Stegostoma tigrinum: one gene and its partners. The protein of the gene in region 3 binds, or shares a complex with, the protein of the main gene of each other region. Links are inferred from orthologs where the notes say so. Each region holds a gene or a part of one and is shown on either strand. Other genes may lie near its edges.

Region 1 (8,087 bases), on a different chromosome or scaffold from region 3:
AAGGGTTTTTCTGTGGTGTGAAAGAATAATTAATTTGTTAATTAACTTGTATCTCTGCAGCCATGACAATTTTGTTTTCAAAACAGTTGAGAGTCTTTAGACTGAACTAGTTCTTATGTAGCTCTGGAGGGTTCACTGAGCAAGGTAAATAATTGTTCCTCAAAGTTCCTACTAGAAAATCATGTTTTTTTTAAGCTTGAAGAGATTGAAACGTTAGAGAGATTTTTTTCAGTTTTACTGTCAGTTTTGGGCAGATCTACATGTGCAAAGTTTTCATGTGCAAAGTTGTTCCAGAAAGGAAAAAGATGGTGGATTTGTTAAAACTATAATGTGGAGGTGCCTGTGTTGGACAAAGTCAGAAGTCACACAACACCATTGTTATTGTCCTGATGAATGGGCTGTGCTTTGAAAGCTTGTGATTTCAAACAAACCTATTGGACTATAACTTAGTACCATGTGACTTCTGACTATGACAGAACTAGACCACCTTGGAGCGATGAGTTAAAGTTCCAGAACGGAAACGTTTGGATAAAATCCTGAACAGGTTACTTGAAATTGAGATAATTAAGCTCAGGCATATGATAGCTCTGGGAAGAAACTACTGTGTTTCCCTGTCAAGAGCTGAAGTCAAATTAGACACATCCAGGTGCAAGAAACTTTCCGGTATGACAGCTGTATAAGGGGGTGCTTCTGCGTACTGTACTGAAGTATTTTAGGATCTGTACAGGAGTCTTTTTAAAAGTTTAATGGAATTATATTTCACTGTATGTTTTAACATCTTTACAGTTTGTGTTACAAGTAAATTGTGTGGTTTACTCTATTTTATTTCCATACATTTTACTTCAAATTTCTGCTTTATGGTTAAAAACAATTTTTAAAAAGATTCATTCATCAAAAGTGGGCATGGTTGGCTGGGCCAGGATTTACTGGCTATTTCTAACAGCACTTATTAAGGTAGCGGTGAGCTGTCCTCTTGAACTGCTTCAGTCCATTTGCTGTTAGCAACGCCATTAGGGAGCAGTTCCAAAATTTTGACCATGCAACACTGGAAGAAAAATAATATATTCCCAAGTCAAGATGATGAATGGCTTGGAGGGGAACTTGCAGGTAGTAGTGGCTGTACGTAACTACAGCCCATGTTGATCTAGATGGTAGTTGGCATGAGTTTGAAAGGTGCTGTCAAGGAGCCTAAGTGAATTTCTGTAGTGCAGCTTTCAGATGGTGTACACTGCTGCTGCTGCAAATCTGTAACACTGTATGCATCCAGGGGTGCATGTTCATTGTTCTTTGAAAATGGAGTCACAGGGAGACAGGGTAATGATGAAGGTGGTTGGTATGCTAGACTTTATTGATCAGTTGGGATGTCATGTTGTGGCTGTACAGGATATTGCTTAGTCCACATTTGGAATACTGCCTTCAAATCTGGTCTTCCTGCTAAACAAAAAATGTTGTGAAAATTGAAAAGGTTCGGAAAAGATTTCCAAGGATGTTCCCAGTGTGAGAGGGTTTGAGCTATGGCCAGAGGCTGAATAGACTAGGTTTATTGTCCCTGGAGCATTAGAGGTTGAGAGGTGACCTTATAGAGGTTTGTAAAATCATGGGGGGGCATGGATAGGGTGAATAGCCAAGGTCTTTTCCCAGGTTAGGGAAGTACAAAGCTCATGGGCATAGATTTAACCTAAGGGGCAACTTTTTCATGCAGAGGGTGGTGCACATATGGAATGAACTGCCAGAGAAAGTGTTGGAGACTCGTACAATTATAACATTTAGAAGGTATCTGCATGGGTATAGGAATGGGGAGGATTTAGACAGTCTGGTCTTAGTCTGGTCAGCATAGACAAATTGGACAAAAGGGCTTGTTTCCATGCTGAATATTTCTATGACTCTAATCCAAACACCAAAACACATTAAGTCAGCTAAATCTGTTTCCAAAATCCATGCGGCAGTTCCTACTGAAACATCAAAACAAACGTGTGTGTAGTGGACAACGTTGCAAAGAGCTCTAAGCAAATCACCTGTGTCTTAAAAACTACCTAATAACAACCAAAAGAGCTGCGGATGCTGTAAATCAGCAACAAAAACAGAAGTTACTGGAAAAGCCGGTCTGGCAGCTTCTGCAAAGAAAAAAATCAGAGTTAACATTTCTGGTCCGTTCACCCTTCCTCAGAACTATTCTGTTAACTTTGATCTTTTCTTCACAGATGTTGCCAGACCTGCTGAGCTTTTCCAGCAACTTCTGTATTTTGTTCTTAAAAGTACCTATCTTTCAAGGGTTAATCAAAATGTAATAATAACAAATGGGGCTTATCAATTTACTGAAGTATACTAAGCCTGTACACGCAAGGAAATTACTTATAAAGGTTTTTCTCCTCATAAATGAAACAAGTTAGCAACAAATCTGTAGTCTAGTTAAAATGGTCTGTTATCAGATGTCAGTTTCCAATAGCTATTCAACGGAACATCACCAACATTATTAAGGAATTTTTGAGTGGTATTTTTCTGTCGTAGACGCATCAATTCTGTCCTTTCCCCAGGTTCGGGTCGGAGGCAGACAAACCCCGTTTTTTGTGAGATTGTCAACAGACTAAACCCATGTGCCCCATCAGGCCCGACTCGGGCCTTCCTACACTCACCTTTACAGCAACATCAGGAGCGGAGTTCAAAGCGAGGGATCCGTGAAGGCGTGACATGGATTTCTTAGGCTCCAGAGGGTGCAGATGAGCCACGGCGTCTCGGCTGGGGAGCTCTCCACATTCACCATCCGAGTCGCTGCCACTGCCGCTGCCGTAAGAGGCCAGAGCCGCAATCGCCGCCGACATTTTCGCGGGCGCCTCTCTCAGAAGATGACGCGCGCTTGCAGATCTAAAACTTAACCAGTCCTCCCCAAGTAAACACCACAGCGTTCACTGACAGGAGTTTCCTTGGCACCGTCTTCACTATTTTAAATGTTGAGAAATTTCTATCGGCGTCAGTCTCACAATATCATCCTCCCGGACTTCAGCGAAACTCCAAGGACTATTATTTACCCCACGGCGGTAAGGCCCAAATTCCCACCTCCGACAATCTGATTGGCTAGCCTGGGAAGGAGTGGGTGAGCCCATCTCGGCAACAACCCTTTGTCCATTGGTTCTGTGCCTTGTCGATCAAAAGACATCACAAAGCTCCCTTCGACCCTTCCTCCTCCGTTCCACAACGCATTCCAATTCGATGGTCTTCCCCCATACCCCTTCCAAACGGCCAGTGCCATTGGGACAATACACGGGAGGATCGCTCAGTGCGTTCAGCCGGATAGCGGTGGACGAAATCCGTTCCGGCAGGCACAGCTGCGTCCGGCGCTTTCTAAGCTCGGCCGTTCTCTGCGATTTGGAAGCCGAAACGCCTCTATTTTCGGATTGAAGAAGCGAACGGGTCCTGCTGCCGCGGGTGCGATGTTCCCCGTGCGTGTCGCCGACGTGCGCCATTCCGGCTGAAGCGGCGGCGGTGTTGTTATCGAGACCGGCGAAAACTTGGGGCGTCAGTAAAAGCGGACCGGTTAGAGCGAAGCTCCCAGACGGCCGCTCGCGGACAATGAAGACGTTATTCTCCAACTGAAAGACGTTCCAATTCATTGTTTTTTTTAAAAAAAAATCTATAGGTCTAGGTATCTCGGAAGATTATATTTTAAAAAAATACTCGAGGCCGGTAAGAGTTTACAGGGTACGTAATTCTAATCTCAGTGAATGAAATGTCGAGCTCTTGGAATTTTATTTATTGTTGCAGTGTTTTTATTTGCTGTGCAAAACAATTGCCTCACAGCAAAGGTGTGTGTTCGGAGAGGGGCTTGCGTTTAGCCATGGTAATTTTTTTTTGCAGTCTACAATCTTACCTTTTTATTTTTCTTCTCCCTCGCCAATTTCTTTCTGTGGTTGCCGAGGCCCCGGCAGGTAGTGATGGTTGGACTGATGGATGGGGCTTGCTCGGGTGCACCTGGGCTTCAGCCCTGAGTCTCTCATTCTCTCCTGCACCACAGTCGGAGCTGCACTGGCCGCAAAAAATCCCGTGTTATCGAGAGTCTGACCTTTCTGCAACTCGCTATAACTCACTGCTCTCTCTCCTGTTCCATTTCAACCACTTAGTTGAGATCGTGAATTTGGATGCGCACTCAATCCCTTCGCAAGAACATGCAGTATAAAGGTGTCGATTGTTTGCAGAAATTTTATTTCAATATTGAGGTTTTCGTGAAGCTGGATGGATGCCCTCGATTTCCACAAAGAATTTGGGAAGGGGGTGTAGCGGGTGGAAGAGAAGATCGGCAAATATTCTGTGACCCTAAGATATTAGATCTCAGCGCGGCAGGGTATTTTATTTTGTGCAATTTATAAACAGAGGCTTACTGTTGAAGTTTTGTCCACTCACGGACAGTAAGTTCATGTTTGTAGGTGCGGTGCCGTCGCATCACGACTGTAACGGTCGCTAATTTTGCAGCGTAGGGAACACATTTGACTAGGATGAATGATAAACGTGCTGATTATTTAGCAATTTTATTGCGAATGACCATGAGCAACTTTTCAGGACTGTCTGCTTTCCTGGCCCCTTGACCTAATGCAGAAAATTATTTGCCTTTACGTTTTGAAAGGCTGTTTATTTTTGCTTTAAACTCTGCCGCCCGCAGTACTCGATTCCCACGCCAGAGGTTGATCGCAGACCTGAGCTCCTGTATTTCACCTCTTCGAAAGACCTTCCCATACGCACCCACCCCCTAACCGCAGTGTTTCAATATTTTGAGCGGAGTAAAGAGAGATCCACGATGAGCGGTTGGAGCGACACTATCTCAATTTGCGCAAAACTTTAAAAGCACAACTTAGTACTTTGGATCCTTTCCTTTCATTAGCACTTCTTATATGCGGTCCGAATAATTGCTCTTCACAGCCGAAGTGGAATTGCAAACGACTTTCAGATAACTCGCTGGGGAAATAATTGCAATACCCTGGAAAAAATGTTCTAGTATAAATCGCTATGCATTTCTGAGACGGGTAACTTTTTTCCAAGCTTAGGGTTTCAAAAGTTGGAGCAGTGACAGATTTGAGCTCGATCCTGTTTCTTAACTTTAAGAACAAATCAATCGGGATGATTTCTGCTGCTGTGCTTTTTTAAAATTTGTATTGTTTTGTAAACTTCAAATCTTCCTGAAGTTAAAACGTAGCGCTTTTCTGCTTATAGAAAAATTTCAGGATCCACTCACTATGACCATACCTTTAACAAAGGAAATGTAGCCAAGAGCTTACACGTTATCAGACAGAAATGGAAATTCAATAGTAATAGGACAAGGAATTTCAAGTAGCTTTTAAGGAGCATCTTGGAGCAGGATAGAAAGCAAGATAGAACACAGTGTGTTTTAAATATGGAATTACAGAGCAAAGACCTGCGACTTTGGTCAATACAGCTACCAGCAATAGGGCAAAACAAAAGGAAAGTGCTCATGAGACTAGAATTGGAAGAACAGAGAGTTCTTGGAGAGCTGTAAGCTTGAAGAACCAAGAAGGTACTTGATGCAAATTCGAAATTAGAGGCATTGTTGAGTTGTGGAGCTTCCAGGGAATGCATGAATGATGCTTGATGCAAGTTGGGAGTTGGCAGTGGTTTCATATGAGCTTAAGGATGGTAAATGAAAAGCCAACCAGGACAGCATGTCTTGTGTAGCAAACTTAGACAGCGTTACCTAAAATTGCACCATTCAACAGCCCATTTTACAGCAATTTACTCATTGATGTCATTGCATGAGGAGTTGGGACCTGAAGAAAATGTGGACCCCTCACCATATGTTCCTCTTCAATGTAAAATGTATAGGTTTCAAATAAGCTAACTAATTACACACAAAAGAACATGGGCTTGTGAGTGTTTTCAACTCTTTGTATGACTGGTGCTGAAACTGTAAACATGGAAGGGCAGAGACAACACAATTTAGATTTAAGGGAGGAGCAGTCTAAAATGAATAATAAAATACCAAAGAAATAACCTTTCAGCAGCATCTAAATTCTCTGCCTAATTTTAGATCCATTTTAACTCGCCATTCTTTCAAGAAACTTATGTATATAGCTTGCATGGTCACGTGCTGAGGTGAAAAGCACGATCAGCAGGACTGAAAGGCTAACGTAACTGTGCATCTTACACTTTTGTTTGGTCTCCTAAAGCAAGTTTTGTTTTGTACCTTGAATAGTTGTATCTTGGGTGCAAATGTAAGGAAATTTCACTATCTTTTATTTTAATTATTCTTGTCTTTATTTCAAGATAGATGCATTTTGTTATTGTGAACTAGCTATTTGAAGATTGAAACTGCTGTGTTAAATTGTTTGGTCGTCTTTTCATCGCAGATGTATGTTAGTTATTGCACTTAGCTACTTGATAATTATGGCTGGCCAGTGTTCACATAAATCTTATAAAATGTTCTAAATTTATGGCAAATAAATTATTTTTGTGCTTGAGTAGGCTGAGAATATAAATGTATGAAAGAAATATTGGCTTTAATGAAATGGAAGTTTTCAAAATACTGAATATGAATGACTTTTAGAAATGTAACTTTTTAAAGAAACATCATGGAGAAGTGTGTGTGTTTAGGAGCATTGTATCGGTCATGTATACTGAAAATGTGTATGGCAAAAAATCTATGAAAACCAGATTTTGCTGTACTAGTCTCATTACACCAAAAAATACTGCCAAGTAATCTTACTTGCAAAGAAAGTTTCTTCAATATTATGCATATAATTATCTTAATATTTAACATGAAAAGATACAATTCAGGAGAATGTTTTGGGAAATTGGATAAGGAGCCAATTTACTTTTTATGATTTTCTGAGGTTGGCTGTTTGTTGACAAATTATATAATTAGGTTTTTATAGATTTGTGCAGATCATTATGAAAGGGCAATGCTTATCCATTAAAAGTACATTTGCAACACAAATACAGTATTGTGAATAAATTATTTCATCTGGCATCTTAAGTGCACGGAGATTTACGTGAAATGCCAAATGTGAAATTATGCCATTTTTGTTATTTTTAATGTGTTGGATGCTTTACTGAAATAAAAGATTGGCTATCGCCTTATCTCATAGTTGGTATGTTGCCAATTAATAATTCATGTTTAAAAACCATGAACAGTATTATTAAGCTTCAGGAGGATTGTAGAAGAGCTATACTGTGCTTTAAGTGAAGTAATGCCATGAGCAATAACAGCTTTGTTTGTCATAAAAGTTAGGCCATTGGCATGATAAATTACACAACTTCCCAACCAATTCTTAATATCATGACTTCTAATTAAAGTTAGATTCTTTCGTTCACTAGCTTTTTTTCCTCAACAAAGTTGCAGTTCCAAGTAGGTTTTGCTATCTATGCGTTCTTGGATTTGGTGGCATGTTACTCCTATAAGAAAATCTTACATTTTCACTTTCCAAAATTGAACAGTGCTAACAAATATTGATTTCAGAGGGCAGTTTAGACTGCTGTGTTGCTGTTGGTCTCAAATCACATGTAGACCTGACCGGGTAAGGAAGAGAGATTTACTTCCCTTAAGGACATTTAGTCAATTGACAATGGTTATAGAATTTCTCTCAATTCCAGAGTTTTTTTAAAAATTGAATTTAAATTTATCTATTTGAAAACTTGCTTAGGGTCTGAATTAACTAGTTAAGTGACATCACAATTATGCCACCATTAGTGATACTTGTCAAAACAAATAAATATTGCTTCATGTTGTTCTGTCAGCTCAGATCACGATCATTCTTCAAACTGCATCCATTTGGCTGGTTTGATTCTGATCATGTGTTCTGCTGTCCTTTTTCAGTTGGGGGTGGTACACTAGCTCTTTCAACAATTATGCCCACTGAGCTCAACTAAATAGAGTTATCTTGAACAGAATAGTGGAAAATGAACAATCAGTGAAATGTCCAAGGTAACCTACATTGTGTGGAGGGCACTGATTCAAACATCCTTTTTGAATTCAAACGTGGAACTCTTCCCCACAATCCTGCTGCTCTATGAATTTGACCTACTGAGATCTGTTTAATCTAGCATAGGTATTTTTAATTTGTTATTCCATGGAACATCTGTGGCAC
Region 2 (7,709 bases), on a different chromosome or scaffold from region 3:
AGGGGAAATTGTGTTCAACTAACTAAGGGTTAATGAGGGTCATGTTGTTGATGTAATATACATGGATTTGCAGAAGTTATTTTATCCAGTATCGCATGACAAACTTCTGAGGAAAAGTCATGGTATAAAAGGAACAGTAACAATGTGCATACAAAATTGGCAGAGCATTAAGAAATGGAGAATGGTAAATGGGTATATTTTGGGCAGGAAGAATATTTATGGTGAAGCTCCTCAGAGGTCAGTATTGGGGCCCTCATTTTTCCTGACATTATAGAATCCCTACAATGCAGCTAGAGGACTATTGGCCCATTAAGTCTGCATCTACCCTCCAAACAGCATCCTGCCCAGACCCATCACCGCCACTGCAACTGATGACACCTCATGGCTAATGCATCTAGCCTGCATGCTACAGGCCAATTTTACATACTGTGGTAGGAAACCAGAGCACTGGCAGAAACCTACACAGGCTGTCATCCAAGGCTGGAATTGAACTTAGGTCCCTGGCACTGTGAGGAAGCACTGCTAACCACTGTGCCACCATGTCACCCTAACATATTAATGATCTGGATCTTGGTGTGCAGGGGACAATTTCAAAGTTTGCAGGTGACACAAAACTCAGAAAAATTGTAAACCGTGAGGAGGATAGTCTGGAGCTCCAAAAGGACATTAACCAGTTTGATGGAGTGGGTTAATTGGTGGTAGATGAGGTTCAATACAGAGAAGTATATTTTGGTAGGAATATCATTGAAAGATAATGTAAAATTGGGGGTACGATTCTAAAGAGGGTGCAGGAGCAGAGGGACCTCTGTGTATATGTATAAGAATCATTGAAGGACAAGTGGAGAGAGCAGTAATAAAGCATACAGTGCCCTAGCCTTTATTAAAAATAGCACACAGTAAAAGGAGTTGATGTTGAACTTGTACAAGACACTCGTTTAACAGTGTGGGCATTACATTGCAGGAAACATGAGAATACATTGGAAAATATTCAGAAACAATTCACAAGAATGACTCCAGGAATGAGGAATTTTCAGTTATGAAGATAGGCTGAAGAAGTTGAGACTATGCTCTTTGGAGAGAAGAAGGCTGAGAGGAAATTTAATCAAGGTTTTCAAAAAATATGACCAAATTAGAGAGAGTAGATAGAGAGAAGCCATTTCTGTTCATAAAAGGAACACAAACAAGAGGGACAACAAGATGTAGAGCTGGATGAACACAGCAAGCCAAGCAGCATCAGAGGGGCAGGAAAGCTGTCGCTTCTGAAGAAGGGTCGAGGCCCAAAACATCAGCTTTCCTGATCCTCTGATGCTGCTTGGCCTGCTGTGTATATCCAGATCTGCACCTTGTTATCTCAGATTCTACAGCACCTGCAGTTCCTACTATCTCAAGAACAAGAGGGAATAGTTTTAAAGCGATGTACAAAAAAAAGCAAGGGTGATGTGAGAAAAATACTGTTTCACTCAGCAAGTAATTAGGATATGGAAGGCAGTACCTGGAAGTGTGGTGAAGGCAAATTTAGTTGAGACATTCAAGAGAGTGTTGGATGATTGTTTGTATAGAAATGGTGTGCAGTGATATGAGTAAAAGGCAGAAGATTGGCTTGAGGTAATGATGCTCATTTGAAAAGTTAGTGTAGACATGATGGACCAAAGGGCCTCCTTCTGTACCATAACAATTCTATGATTCAGTATTAATGTCAAAAAGAGTTCACAATTGCATCCACAACTTATATTTTACAGATAAAGGCAGTCTGAAGGAGAGGTTATGGTCTCGGTATCCCTGGAACCTGTAAGTTTGCTTGACAGAATTGTCCTCCTTCCTTCAAACCAACAGGGACACTCAGTTGAAAATTCGCTTAACTGATGCAATCAGGGGTGAAATGTCCAGATGGAGCTGAGAACGCTTATCTGTAACAAGCCCTAGCTGTCCTTCTTTGGGGCACGTAATCACATTATCAAGATAATGGGAAAAGACAGGATTACTTAGAACAGGAGGGAAGCTACTAGCGTACAGATGAGTTGGTGTTATTGAATATGCAAGTGTCATGTTGAAGAAACAAGTGAAACAGATCCACATTTTTGCTGTCCTTCCTCCCAAAGCTGATCATATCCAAGAGATGTATCAAAATGGTGCTGAAATTGCAACAGTAATTGGTCAATTTCAGTGATATTGCCCCTATGGGCAGCAGGAACAGAAAACCCATCAAGCACAATTGCATTTCCCCTTTCATCAATAGATAAAGTACAGATCTGATCAAGGTGACGACAATGCTGATGCCCTGAACCACAATTCTATCTCATGAAAGGAAGCCTATCTCTGCCATGTGACAGGGAATTACGAATGATATCATCAAATGTAAAAAATGTCTACTACCATTGAGGAATAGGAATTTTTATATGGAGCCAGATTTTGGTTCTGCTCTATGAAGACAATTGTTTTATATTAAGAGGTCAGAAAGTCATAAGAGGATGCAGTTTCCAAGTAAGCATGTAATTCACATATGTGCCCAGCAGGATATACCTGTGACGTTAATGACTAAAATATTTATACTGCCACATTTACAACGGATGGAGAAAACAGATCAAGCATCATTAGATTAGCATGGTTTCAGTTCAAAACGATCAGAAATTTAGTACACATGACCAAGAGAGGTGAAAATGTGGAAGTCACTGCCACAGGCTGAAGTGACTAATATTATGCAAATAAGGCAAGATTTGATATTCATGAAAGAAAAAAATTGAATTGACAACTATTGGGGAGGAAATGGCCTCGTGGTACTGTCTCTGGATTAACAATCCAGCAATACTGAGATACTGTTCTGAGGACCTGTGTTCAAATCCTGCCACAGCAAATGGTGCAATTTGAATTCAATTAAAACAAAATCTAAACTAAGAATCCTGAGATGAACATGAATCCATTGTCAATTCTTGGGGGAAAAAACCCAGTGATGCCCTCATCCTGTAAATGAATGAAAATAAAACTATAGAGATCAATTAGGGCATGTGATGGCCTAGTAGTATTATTGCTGCATTGTTAATCCAGAGATCCAGCTAATGTTCTGGGGACCTCGGTTTGAATCCTGCCACGGCAGATGATGGAATTTGAATTCAATAAAAATCTGGAATTAAGTCTAATGATCACTATGAATCCATTATCAATTGTTGGGAAAAACCTATCTGGTTCACTAACACCCTTTAGGGAAGGAATCTCCAATCCTTACATTTGTGTTGCCACTTTCGGCAGCTATAGACTTGCAACCCAAGATCCCTCCATATATCAGTGTTCCTAAAGGCCCTGGCATTAACTGTATAATTTTATCTTGCATTTGATCTCCCAAAATGCATCATCTGACACCTTTGGAGTTCTTTCTGATTATTCCTATTATTCTTCTAATATCATCCCCATTACATACCTGATCCCAGTCCTACTTCCTATGCCATCCCTAAACCCCTTTCCATACATCCCATGTATTTCCACTCATGGTGTTCCCATCCCAGATTTCTCTCTTATGCTGTCCTCCACTTTCCACTCAATGCTGTCCCTCATTCCTGGCTGACTGCTTTTGTTCAGTGAGGTTTGTCTGCATCACTCTGTTGCTTTCCAATTATAGAAAGACAATTAGAAAATTTAGATATTTTAAAACTTAATTGTAACATTTAAGTACCCAGGAACCAGCTAAGAAATACACACACTAACAGATGCAAACCTTAAACTGATCAATAAACAGAGTCTTGACAGATGAAGACTGTTAATAACATAGGTTACAACTTTGGTAAAAGGCGAAATGAGGAAGGGTCCCAATCAACTTTCCTGCTCCTCAGATGATGCCTGGCCTGCTGTGTTCCTCCAGCTCCACACTGTGTTATCGCTGACTCCGGCATCTGCAGTTCTTACTATCTCTTATAATGAACTACAATATAGTCCACCTTGTCTTCACCTCCAACCCACTAGTGTTCACTTTCAATGATCATTCTTAATCATTTATGCCACCCATACTGTTACAGCAAACCTTATTCCTCACCTTTCCCCATTCAGGATTCTGACAGAACCGTTGTCTCCTAGGTCTACTGGTCCATCATGCCACATGGCAAAGCAGGCTCTATAGTTCCTCAAGATTAAGGACCCAAAACACAACCTTCAGTTGAAACAGTTCTTATATTTCTTTCAATTTTTAATAAGTGTTCACTGTTTATGAACTAGTTTTCTCTGCTTGGGAAAACTAAACACATATATGTTATAGAGATAGTAGGAACTGCCGCTGCTGGAGAATCTGAGATAACAAGGTATAGAGCTGGATGAACACAGCAGGCCAAGCAGCATCAGAGGAGCAGGAAAGCTGATGTTTCGGGTCTAAACCTTTCTGAAGAAGGGTTCCCACCTGAAACGTCAGCTTTCCTGCTCCTCTGATGCTGCTTGGCTTGCTGTGTTCATCCAGCTCTACACCTTGTTATCTCAGATTCTCCAGCATCTGCAGTTCCTACTATCTCAGTACAAGAAAAGTTCTGCTTTTAAATCTATTTCAGATTTTTATTTGTTTGAAGAGCTCACTAAAATCAATGCTAAATTTCCCTTCGGAAAGACACATCAGTGAAGTTTCATTAGCAAAGAAAGTGTTAAAAACCGTACGATGGTTTTAACCTGAGACTTTCTAAGATCATTCCTGGCTGAACTTGGAGCCTTTACGACAATTGGCGGTCATTTACGACCGTTTGGGACATACGGCAGTGTGGCAGGGACCTGAGCGGTGGGGGGACATTTTAGCTTCTTGCGACAGTGCTGATATGGATGTGGGCGAATTGCTGAACTATCAGGTGAGGCAGCAGCTTCTCCTCCTTCTTTCGGGCCCCCTGTCTACGCTCAGTCAGTCTAAGCCGCTCCATATCCCCACTCCGGCCGGTTCCGAGACAAGCGAGGCCGCAGAGCCTGGCACTCGAGTTGTGGCTGCATCGCCAGTAACTGACAGGGAGCCCTCTTTTTCCTGCCACACGATTTCGAGTTCACGTGGGGCTCCATCGTTGATCAATTTTAGGTTCTATCAGCTCCACAGGTGTGTAATGACGTCTCTGATCAGGTTGATTCAAAAATATCAATAAACCATCTTTCCATAGCCACAATATTACAGTCATCAGCCCCAGCTTAGGAGTTTCACCTTCTAATTGAATCGCTTTAAAATTCCTGATACAGAGAGGTGACATATTTGTCAAACAACAGGCCACTGTGCCTGGCATAGTGATGAGAAGTTATTCCATGATGTTAATTTTCAGTACTATAATGTAGAAATATTAAATACAAAACACATATGGCACATAACATCTTGCCCGTCATAAGATGGAAAACAGAATTGCTGTAGTACTGAAATATAATCTTAGTGTGTGACAGTGAAGTGCGAGAAAGGTTCACGTGAGGGTAAACTTAGAAGGTTAAAAAAAGGGTGAAACAGTGATGCAGGATTGCAGCTTTGATAATGATGACTAGAGTGTGTCAAGTGGAATAGAACACAAATATAGGAGTATACTGGCAAGATGATTTTTTTTGGCTAATGTGAATTCACATGCAAATATAGTTGTGGATATAAATGGTGAAAAGGCAGATTGAAAATTATTTCTCTAAATGTGCACTGAATGGACAAATTAATAATACAAATACAAATGACTGAGTATAATTTGATTGCCATTGTAGAAATGTGGTTGCAAAATGACTGGCTGGAACCTAAATATTTGAGGATGTTCAACACTTTGGAAAGTCAGGAAGGAGGGTGAGGAATTGGATAACTCTTTTAATAAATAATGAAATCAGTGCAGTTGTGAGAATTGATCTTGATTCAGAGGATCAAGATGTAAAATCAGTTTGGATGGAGATAAGAAATGGTGAAAGAAAGAAGTCATTGGGAGTACATAAGGGTTAAACTGAAGGGTGCATTGTAAATCAAGAAGTAATAGAGTTTATAACAGTCACTCAAAATTGGGGAGACTTCACTCTTCATATTAGTTGAAAGCAATAGACAAAAATTGCCTGGGGATGAACATTGTATTTTGAACAGTTTCTTGGGGTTCTTTCTGTAACCAAACAGGAAACATTATTTGAGGCCTGGTATTGTGAACTGTAGGCTTGTAAAACAAATGATGTAGCCACATTACAGGGCAGACATTAATGATGTCCAGCATGCAACAGGAGGGATAAGTGTACAAACGTAGAAAAACATCAGCAAATAGGGTCAAAGGGACAAAAGTGATTAGCAAAACTGATGGTTCCACGCTTGAATGCACATAGTATTTTGAACAAAATAAATGAGTTAATGGCACAAATAGAATTTATTGGGTATGGCCTTGCAGCCACTGTGGAGATATGGTTACAAAGAAGTTAGTATAGGGAACTGTGTATTATGGGATAAATGTCTTTTCAAAAGGAGAGGCAGGAGGGAAAGGGTGGTGGGGTAGCATTGTTGGTATAGGATGGAATAGATGCAAAAGCAAGAAATGATCTTGGATTAGAAAATGTAGAATCCAAATGAGGATGGAGGTAAGAAATATCAAGGAGGAGAAGACATTGACAGGAGTAATATTTTGGCCTCTTAACAGTAGCAATATAACAGGACTGAGAATAAATCAGGAGCTAATGACTATGTAAAAAAGGTAGTATATCAATCATAGAATCCCCAATGAGGCCATTTGGCCCATTAAGTCGGCACTAACTCTCCATAGTGTCCCATAGACCGCTTCCCTGCATTCGTCATAGCTAAACTACCTAGGCTACACGTCCTTGAAGACTATAGACAATTTAGCACCCATCCATATCTTTGGACTGCGGGAGGAAACTGGAGCACCCAGTGGAAAACCACGCAGACACGTGGAAAATGTGTGGAGTTTGCACAGTCACCTGAGGCTGAAATCAAATCCGGGTTCCTGGTGCTGTGAGGCAGCACTGATAACCACTGATCCACCATGCCACTCTGGGTGAATTTAATCTGCATGTGGGTTGCAATGTTAGATTTGCAGAGGTAACCAGGAGGAAGAATTCAGAGCATATTTGGACAGTTTCCCTGAACAATATGTTGCGGGTCTAACTAGGGATCAGGCTGTTTTAGATTTGATGTATAATGACAGGTTTATTAAATTATCTCAGAGTAAAGGATCTCCTAGAAAACAGTAACCATACATGGTAGAATTTAGAATTTAATTTGAAAGGGAGAACTTGGGTCAGAAACAGCTATGTTAAATCTAAGGGTAATTACAAAGAAATAAGGGCAGAATCAGTTGTTGTGGACTAGAAAAGAAGTTTAGCAGAGAAAACCTGAGTATACTTTTAAGAATATAGTTCATCAGTTGAAAAACACATTGCAGTGATAAAGGAGGGTTCCAGGAAGGGAATTAGCCAAGCGTAGGGGTTTTAAGGATAGCATCAGATTGAAAGCAGAAATATAATATGGCAAAGATTAGTGGTAGGCCAGAGATTTGGGAAAGTTTAGAAAACTGCAAGAAGTGACCAACATAAAAATGAGGGATTAAATAAACCTGAAAGCTAACTTGCAAGAAGTATTAAACTTGACATCAAGTTTATTTTTAATATACTAAAAGGAAGAGAAAGGCCAAAGTGAGCACAGCTCCCTAAGTGGAAGAGGCTGGGGAAGTAATACTAATGTGGAACTGGGACATGGTAGAGGAGTTGAATAAATACTTTGCACCAATCTTCACCGTAGAAGACACTAATAA
Region 3 (7,634 bases):
GCTCCTTAACTGTAGAAACTTATTTTTTCAAATCAACCTGTTTGGATATGTTATTACACACCTCTACAGCAGGAGGGACTTAAACCTGGGCCTCATGGTCTAATGGTCTGGACACTGCCACTGCACTAGAACAGGGCACGCTGAAACTAGAGACCATTTTGTGTCATTGCTTATCCATGACTTGGTTACAAAAATGAGGCAAAGAATTAAATAAGGAACTATTAGAAACTGCAATAAAAGCAATATAAAAATTGGTGGGATATATACCGAACTAATATCAAGTTGTCAAAAGCAGTTGAGGAAGATGAATTTCTAGAATGTTTTCATGTTGGCTTCCTGAAACAAAACCTATGGTGTTATTCCACAACGTAAAAGTTACTTTATATCTAATATTCTGCAACAGAATGTCTGCCGGCACCCCCAAGATGTGCATGGGCAATAACACTGCCAGTACTGCTAATATCATTACGCACGTTTGCTTTTATTCATTGTGCTTATTTGGGCACCACGTGTTTTACCAAGAAAGCATTTCATTAAGTATGTGCAGAACTTTCCACACATGGAATGTGAACCTTTCAGGGGTATCATGAGAGTCTTCGTTCAGTGGGGTAAGGTTAATTAATAATCTCAAAGTAAAAGATCAGGTGGGAAACAGTAATCATAACACAACTGAATCACATACTTGGCTTGAAAGCAACATACTTAGATTGCAATTAAGAATTAAATTTAAAAAATAAAGCCAATTACAAAAGGAGTTTCAAAGCCATGAGATCATATTGCAGCTATACAAGAGTCTGGTGCGGCTGCACTTGGAGTATTGCGTACAGTTCTGGTCGCCCCATTGTACGAAGGATGTGGAAGCATTGGAAAGGGCGCAGAGGAGATTTACCAAGATGTTGCCTGGCATGAAGGGAAGGTCTAATGTAGAAAGGCTGAGGGACTCGAGGCTGTTTTCGTTAGAGAGAAGTTTAACAGGCAACTTTAATAGAGACATGCAAGATGATGAGAGGATCTGACAGGGCGGACAGTGACAGCCTTTTTCCTGGGATGGTGATAGCTGGCACGAGGGGACAAACGTTTAAATTGAAGGGTGATAGACATGGGACAGATGTCAGAGGTAGGTTCTCTGCTCAGAGTAGTAAGTGTGTGGAATGCCCTGCCTGTAACAGGAGTAGACTCGCAACTTTAAGGGCATTTAAATGGTCATTGGATAAACATATGGATGATAATGGAATAGTGTAAGTGGAATGGGCTTCAGATTGGTTTCACAGGGTGGCACAACATTGAGGGCTAAAGGGCCTGTACCGCACTGTAATGTTCTATGTTCTATTAGGAACAAGTTGGCAAAGATCGATTAGGTGAAAAGACTGATATGCACAGTAGTAAACAAATAGTTGGAATCAATTAAAGAAACAACTCAACACAGCCAACGAAAATAAAAAGCATCTTGCAAATAACAGTAATTCTGACAACTACCAGCACTTAAGAAATCAGGAAAAGGTGACCAAAAATTGAGAGAGAAAATGGAGGAGAGATGGGGAGCGAAGGGAGTAGGGGGATGGGGGCGGGGGGGGATGGGGGGAGGGGGGGGATGGGGGCGGGGGGGGGGGGATGGGGGCGGGAGAGATGGGGGCGGGGGGGGAGAGATGGGGGCGGGGGGGGGAGAGATGGGGGCGGGGGGGGGAGAGATGGGGGCGGGGGGGGGAGAGATGGGGGCGGGGGGGGGAGAGATGGGGGCGGGGGGGGGAGAGATGGGGGCGGGGGGGGAGAGATGGGGGCGGGGGGGGAGAGATGGGGGCGGGGGGGGGAGAGATGGGGGCGGGGGGGGGAGAGATGGGGGCGGGGGGGGGAGAGATGGGGGCGGGGGGGGGAGAGATGGGGGCGGGGGGGGGAGAGATGGGGGCGGGGGGGGAGAGATGGGGGCGGGGGGGGAGAGATGGGGGCGGGGGGGGAGAGATGGGGGCGGGGGGGGGAGAGATGGGGGCGGGGGGGGGAGAGATGGGGGCGGGGGGGGGAGAGATGGGGGCGGGGGGGGGAGAGATGGGGGCGGGGGGGGGAGAGATGGGGGCGGGGGGGGGAGAGATGGGGGCGGGGGGGGGAGAGATGGGGGCGGGGGGGGGAGAGATGGGGGCGGGGGGGGAGAGATGGGGGCGGGGGGGGAGAGATGGGGGCGGGGGGGGAGAGATGGGGGCGGGGGGGGAGAGATGGGGGCGGGGGGGGAGAGATGGGGGCGGGGGGGGGGAGAGATGGGGGCGGGGGGGGGGAGAGATGGGGGCGGGGGGGGGAGATGGGGGCGGGGGGGGGGGAGATGGGGGCGGGGGGGGGGAGATGGGGGCGGGGGGGGGGAGATGGGGGCGGGGGGGGGGAGATGGGGGCGGGGGGGGGGAGATGGGGGCGGGGGGGGGGAGATGGGGGCGGGGGGGGGGAGATGGGGGCGGGGGGGGGGAGATGGGGGCGGGGGGGGGGAGATGGGGGCGGGGGGGGGGAGATGGGGGCGGGGGGGGGGAGATGGGGGCAGGGGGGGGGAGATGGGGGCAGGGGGGGGGAGATGGGGGCAGGGGGGGGGAGATGGGGACAAGGTTGGGGTGGCAGAGGGGTGCAAGGTGGAGGCAGGGGTGTAGGTGGGGGCAAGGTGGGGGTGGGGAATGGGGGCAAGGTGGGGGTGGGGAATGGGGGCAAGGTGGGGGTGGGGAATGGGGGCAAGGTGGGGGTGGGGAATGGGGGCAAGGTGGGGGTGGGGGTGAAGGAAGAACAAGGGAGGGGGATGTGGGTAGGGAGACAATGGGGATGCCGTGTTCAATAGCAGCTGTTGGTGGAGGCTACAGCCCCGAGGCCCACGAAAGGACATTTCATTGCCGCTGTCGATCAGAATGATCACAGTCCCCCGGCTGACCAGACGTATTCGCCCCGACCCAGGCACTCACCGCCTCTCGGACCCCCGGCGCATCGTAACCCTGATCAAAATACGGCAACGCGTCCACCACCACATCGCCGGCCACCGCCAGCGGCCCCGCCATCTTGAGCGCCCTCAGCTCACCGCGCCTGCGCGCCTGGTAACCCCCATCCAGAAGCGCGTCCAGAATCCCACCGCTGAAGGTCTGCCTGCGCCTGCGCGCTGAATGCTGCCGTCCCTTCGGAGCATGCGCGCTTTGTATCAACTTGCAGCTATATCCCTCACTGGGTGAAGTGTTGGCAGGGTGCAATTGGGGTGTCCTCCTTAGATCACTCTTCGTTGGCCACCCTGACCAGCAGCTCCCTCAATATGAACCTGAAAACAATAATCACTGTACCAAAGTAATAAAATGTGAGGCTGGATGAACACAGCAGGCCCAGCAGCATCTCAGGAGCACAAAAGCTGACGTTTCGGGCCTAGACCCTTCATCAGAGGGTCTAGGCCCGAAACGTCAGCTTTTGTGCTCCTGAGATGCTGCTGGGCCTGCTGTGTTCATCCAGTCTCACATTTTATTATCTTGGATTCTCCAGCATCTGCAGTTCCCATTATCACCAATCACTGTACCAAAGTTTTCCGAAGAAGTGTCCCAGCCCGAAAAGTTAGCTTTCCTGTTCCTCTGATGCTGCTTGGCCTGCTGTGTTGATCAGCTCTACACCTTATTACTACAAAAGTTAATGCTGTTTATCTATAACATGCATTGCAGAAATTCACCAAGGCTCCTTGGACAGCACCTACCAAACCCGCCACCACTTCAGAATTAAATGCACACCTCAAGCACGGCACAACAAAATTTCCTATTTAACCATGTATTCCCACATAGAACATGGAACGTAGAACAATATCGCGTAAAACAGGCCCTTCGGCCCTCGATGTTGCGCCGACCTGTGAACTAATCTAAGCCCCTCCCACTACACAATCCCATCATTATCCATAATTTTACATCATTTGTGTATGTGATTGACCACGCATGAGCAGTGGCATTTGTCAGCAATAACTGAAGACCCTCTAGCCAGTTTATGCATGCATAGGTGGCCAAAGTGATAATTTTATCTGTTTTTGACCCAATTACTCTGTTTTTAAAGTTGCTGCTTGGCATAATGTCAATATCAAGTGTTGTAAAGCATAGGTTGACCCCCCCCCCTCCCCCCACCATGAGAACAAAAACCAAAACACCTAAAGAGGACCACCTCAGCCTATAATCTGTTAAGGGTGTAACCTGTCTTTCAGAAGTTTATAATGGTTAACTCAAGTATCCCTGACATTCATTTTACAATCAACAATTCATTTATCTAACTAATACTGAATAAATTAACTAAAGTATTAACAAACTGAACAAATCCCTTCTGACAGCTAACTATTCCTAAATAAAGCAAGATTTTAATGGTATGCTGTTCCAATAAATATAAGACCCATTTATATGACAAATCAATTGAATTTAGTCTCACAAAATTACAACCAGTTTATGCCTTCCAGAATGTTCTGTGTGTTCTCCATTGATTCTTCTGTCAGGAACCTTAGCTAGGAGTGCCATGGTACCGTTGTGAATAGATGGTGTTTCTCTAAGAGCTGAGAGCTGTTATCTCTAGCAGATAGCGGTTAGCTCTGCCAATTTTCCAACTGCTACCTTCTTGTATACACCTATGACTTATCAATTTCTTACAACTGGAATGGTCCTAGATTGTCAAGGCCGTCAGATTCAAATTTAATAGGTTTTTGATATCTAAGTACCAAGTTCAAATTGATTGGCTAAATTCAAAAATCTGCTTCCTTGGTAAAAATGCTGCTTGGCCTGCTGACGGTACAGCTTTGTGACGCAAATGTTTCAATTCAGGCGTTCTCTGTTCTTGCAAGGTTTCAAGCTGCTCACAGACATCTCTAAGCATAGAAAAAGCACAACCTATTAAAAGACCACCCAATGCTTTGTCCCCTAGCATTTTACAAACATTAAATTCTGCAAACACTAAATTCTAATGTGTTGCCTCCCAATTCATAGCTACTCTACCCAACCACACCACATGAGCCAAAACAAGGCTTGTAACCTTAATTTGAAATTAGAGCTGGGCCTTTCATGGAGTATAACAGTGGTGTTTCTCCAAAATGTAGTTGAAGCTGGGAGTCAATTGGAAGTGTCAAAATTGAAGCTGATCAAACTTTGCTCGGTAAGGTATCAATGGGTATGGAACAATGAAATTGAGATACTGACCTGGTTTGATAAGCAGAAATTGGAATAGGCCTGTGGTAATTGGAATGAGATTATTCAGCTGGATCTCAGAATATGAGCTCCCTGGTTGAGGCTGTTAATCTGGTCCAATAAGGGAGCCCTGGCAGACAGATAAAGAAGGGTGAGTGTCAGAGATACTGACAGTCTGGTGCCTGAATCTGTATGAGGCGGGACCATAGCCAAAGACTGTAAATAAAGGTCACTTGGTGATGGATAACAGCCTCAAGGCCTACTTAATGATCTGCTCCTAAATATATGCGTTTAATAGCAAGAAGCGCCATTGTGAAAGTTGCAAATATAAATGCTGCTCTTGAAGGTTATAGCTTCTGGTCATAACAAGGTCAGGCAGTTAGCTGGCCAATACTCAGGTGTTTCTGTTCGTGTGAGGGCAATTCTGTTCACAACCAAACTTACTTATTTACTGTGATGGACTGGGCTTCCTTAGGAATCACACTGAAGAATGGTAAATAATGAAATCAATATATTTTTCAGATTTTGAATTATGAGTACATTTAATATGTACAACACATTGCAATTGGCACAACTGATGCTAAACATTCTTATATGACAAGTAACAAAACAGAACATGCTCCCTCAAGTTCCCTGACTCATAATTGTTAAACTCCCAAAGTTACCTAAGATTTGGTTGGGAGAGGTAGAGTAACATAGCAATGGATTGAGTATTCTGCAGTCAAGTTGTGTCTTTTCTGGTCATAGTACTCCTGTTCTTTAGGTTATGTAACTTCCTTTGCTCCTTATTGTTGAGAAAGAAAGAGAGAGAGAGAAACCGCTCTGATTTATCAATCTTGCAGACCTCTGTGCCTCATGTTCCTTCCTTCCTTTCTGTATTGATTGTCATGACGGCAGCCAGATGGGCCTTATAAAATATGAGTTCCCTGATTGGGGCTGTTCATCTGGCCGAATGGCGAAGGTCCTGCCTGACAGACAAAAGCAGGAGTGCCAGACATCCTGTTCAATCTGAGAGTTGGCTCTGAGGCAGTTGGATCAGTGTCAAAGACTCTCCATGTGTAAATAAGCGGTGACTTGCTGATGGGATATCAGTCTATGTGAAGTTAATTCACTGGTAATGAGATTAAAGCACACTCCTGAAGAAATTCACTCCCAACAGTCATTTCTGAGTGAGAGTAAGCATTTGCAGCATCATGCTGCTATTGGCAAAGCTTGACTTATTCAATCCTGCTATTGAAGACTGGGCCCAGTATGTGGAAAGAATGCATTTTTTTTTTCTGGCCAAGTGACATTGTGGCAGGCGAAAAGCAATTAGTAATTCTCCTTACAGCTTGTGGACACACAGCTTTTTTGGTGATCCTGGCACACAAGCCATTGTATTTGCAGCCAGTGTGCGGACTTCCGCATCCATCGCATTATCCTTCGCCATTTCTGACACCAACAATCTGACCCCCCTCACCAAAGTGATACTTCCCTCCCCACCCCTATCTGCCTTTTTTAGGGACTGCTCACTCCACGACTGCTTCGTCCACTCCATACTCCCCACTAACATCACCACACATGGCACCGTTCCCAGCAACAGCAGGAGCTGCTACACCTGCCCTTACACGTTCCGTCTCACGTCTGTCCAAGGTCCCAAACAATCTTGTCAATTTTGACTGGGATTCACCTGTGCATCCTCCAACCTGGTCTACTGTATCCGTTGTTCCTGATATAGCCTCCTCTACATCAATGAGACCAACGCAGACTCGGTGACTGATTCAAGGAGCATCTGTGCTCTGTATGCTCTAAGCAACAGCACCTCCCAGTTTCCAACCATTTTAACTCCCTCTCCCACTCTCTGGGTGACATGTCCATCCTGGGCCTCCTTCAGTGTCACAAAGGTGCCACATGCAAGCTGAAGGAACAGCACCTCACATTCTGCCTCAGGAGGCTACAATCTGATGGCCTCTACATAGAAATCACCAGTTTCAAAATCTCCTCACCCCCGGCCTCACCCCATGTCCAACCCTCCATCTCATCCCTGCCTCCCTGACCAGACACAACTTGTCCATCTTCTTTCCATCTGTCCGCCCCACTCTTCCCACTGACCAATCTCCACAATTCCCTACCTGCATCCACCTCCCACCATCCCACCTACGTTCCACCGGCCCCACCTCCCTATTTATTTCCGAGCTCCTTTCCCCATTCCTGGTGAAGGGTGTAAACCCAAAACATCGACTTCCTTGTTCCACTGATGCTGTCTGACCTGCTGTACTCCTCAAGCTCCATGCTGTGTTGATGTGGTCCTGGTTCCTATATAAATTTAGGACTACTCCTCATGCAACTATCAGGATTGTTCCAGTAGAATGGGGAGAAGACTCTGCACCAGGTTAAATCTGATCTTGGGAAGGATGAGAAGGATGAAACGGCATCAGAAATCTCAATGTTGGGCACAAGACTCCTGTAAGCAAGAGAGACAGTTTACATCAGGGATCAAAGTTTGGTGTA

Evidence for each region.
Region 1: bcas2 (region 3) and cdc40 share a complex: the UniProt entries of both Homo sapiens proteins name them as parts of the postcatalytic spliceosome P complex. The link is inferred for Stegostoma tigrinum from reciprocal best matches to the Homo sapiens genes BCAS2 and CDC40.
Region 2: bcas2 (region 3) and ctnnbl1 share a complex: the UniProt entries of both Homo sapiens proteins name them as parts of the PRP19-CDC5L splicing complex. The link is inferred for Stegostoma tigrinum from reciprocal best matches to the Homo sapiens genes BCAS2 and CTNNBL1.

Annotation. Positions count from the first base shown.
Region 1 is NC_081357.1:25,293,273-25,301,359, forward strand, and holds the start of cdc40 (pre-mRNA-processing factor 17), read right to left. Parts: upstream 3,060-8,087; 5' UTR 2,820-3,059; coding exon 2,634-2,819; intron 1-2,633. UniProt on the Homo sapiens protein: Required for pre-mRNA splicing as component of the activated spliceosome. Plays an important role in embryonic brain development; this function does not require proline isomerization.
Region 2 is NC_081372.1:47,970,402-47,978,110, reverse strand, and holds the start of ctnnbl1 (beta-catenin-like protein 1), read left to right. Parts: upstream 1-4,708; 5' UTR 4,709-4,781; coding exon 4,782-4,811; intron 4,812-7,709. UniProt on the Homo sapiens protein: Component of the PRP19-CDC5L complex that forms an integral part of the spliceosome and is required for activating pre-mRNA splicing.
Region 3 is NC_081374.1:41,696,130-41,703,763, forward strand, and holds the start of bcas2 (pre-mRNA-splicing factor SPF27), read right to left. Parts: upstream 3,062-7,634; 5' UTR 3,018-3,061; coding exon 2,925-3,017; intron 1-2,924. UniProt on the Homo sapiens protein: Required for pre-mRNA splicing as component of the activated spliceosome. Component of the PRP19-CDC5L complex that forms an integral part of the spliceosome and is required for activating pre-mRNA splicing.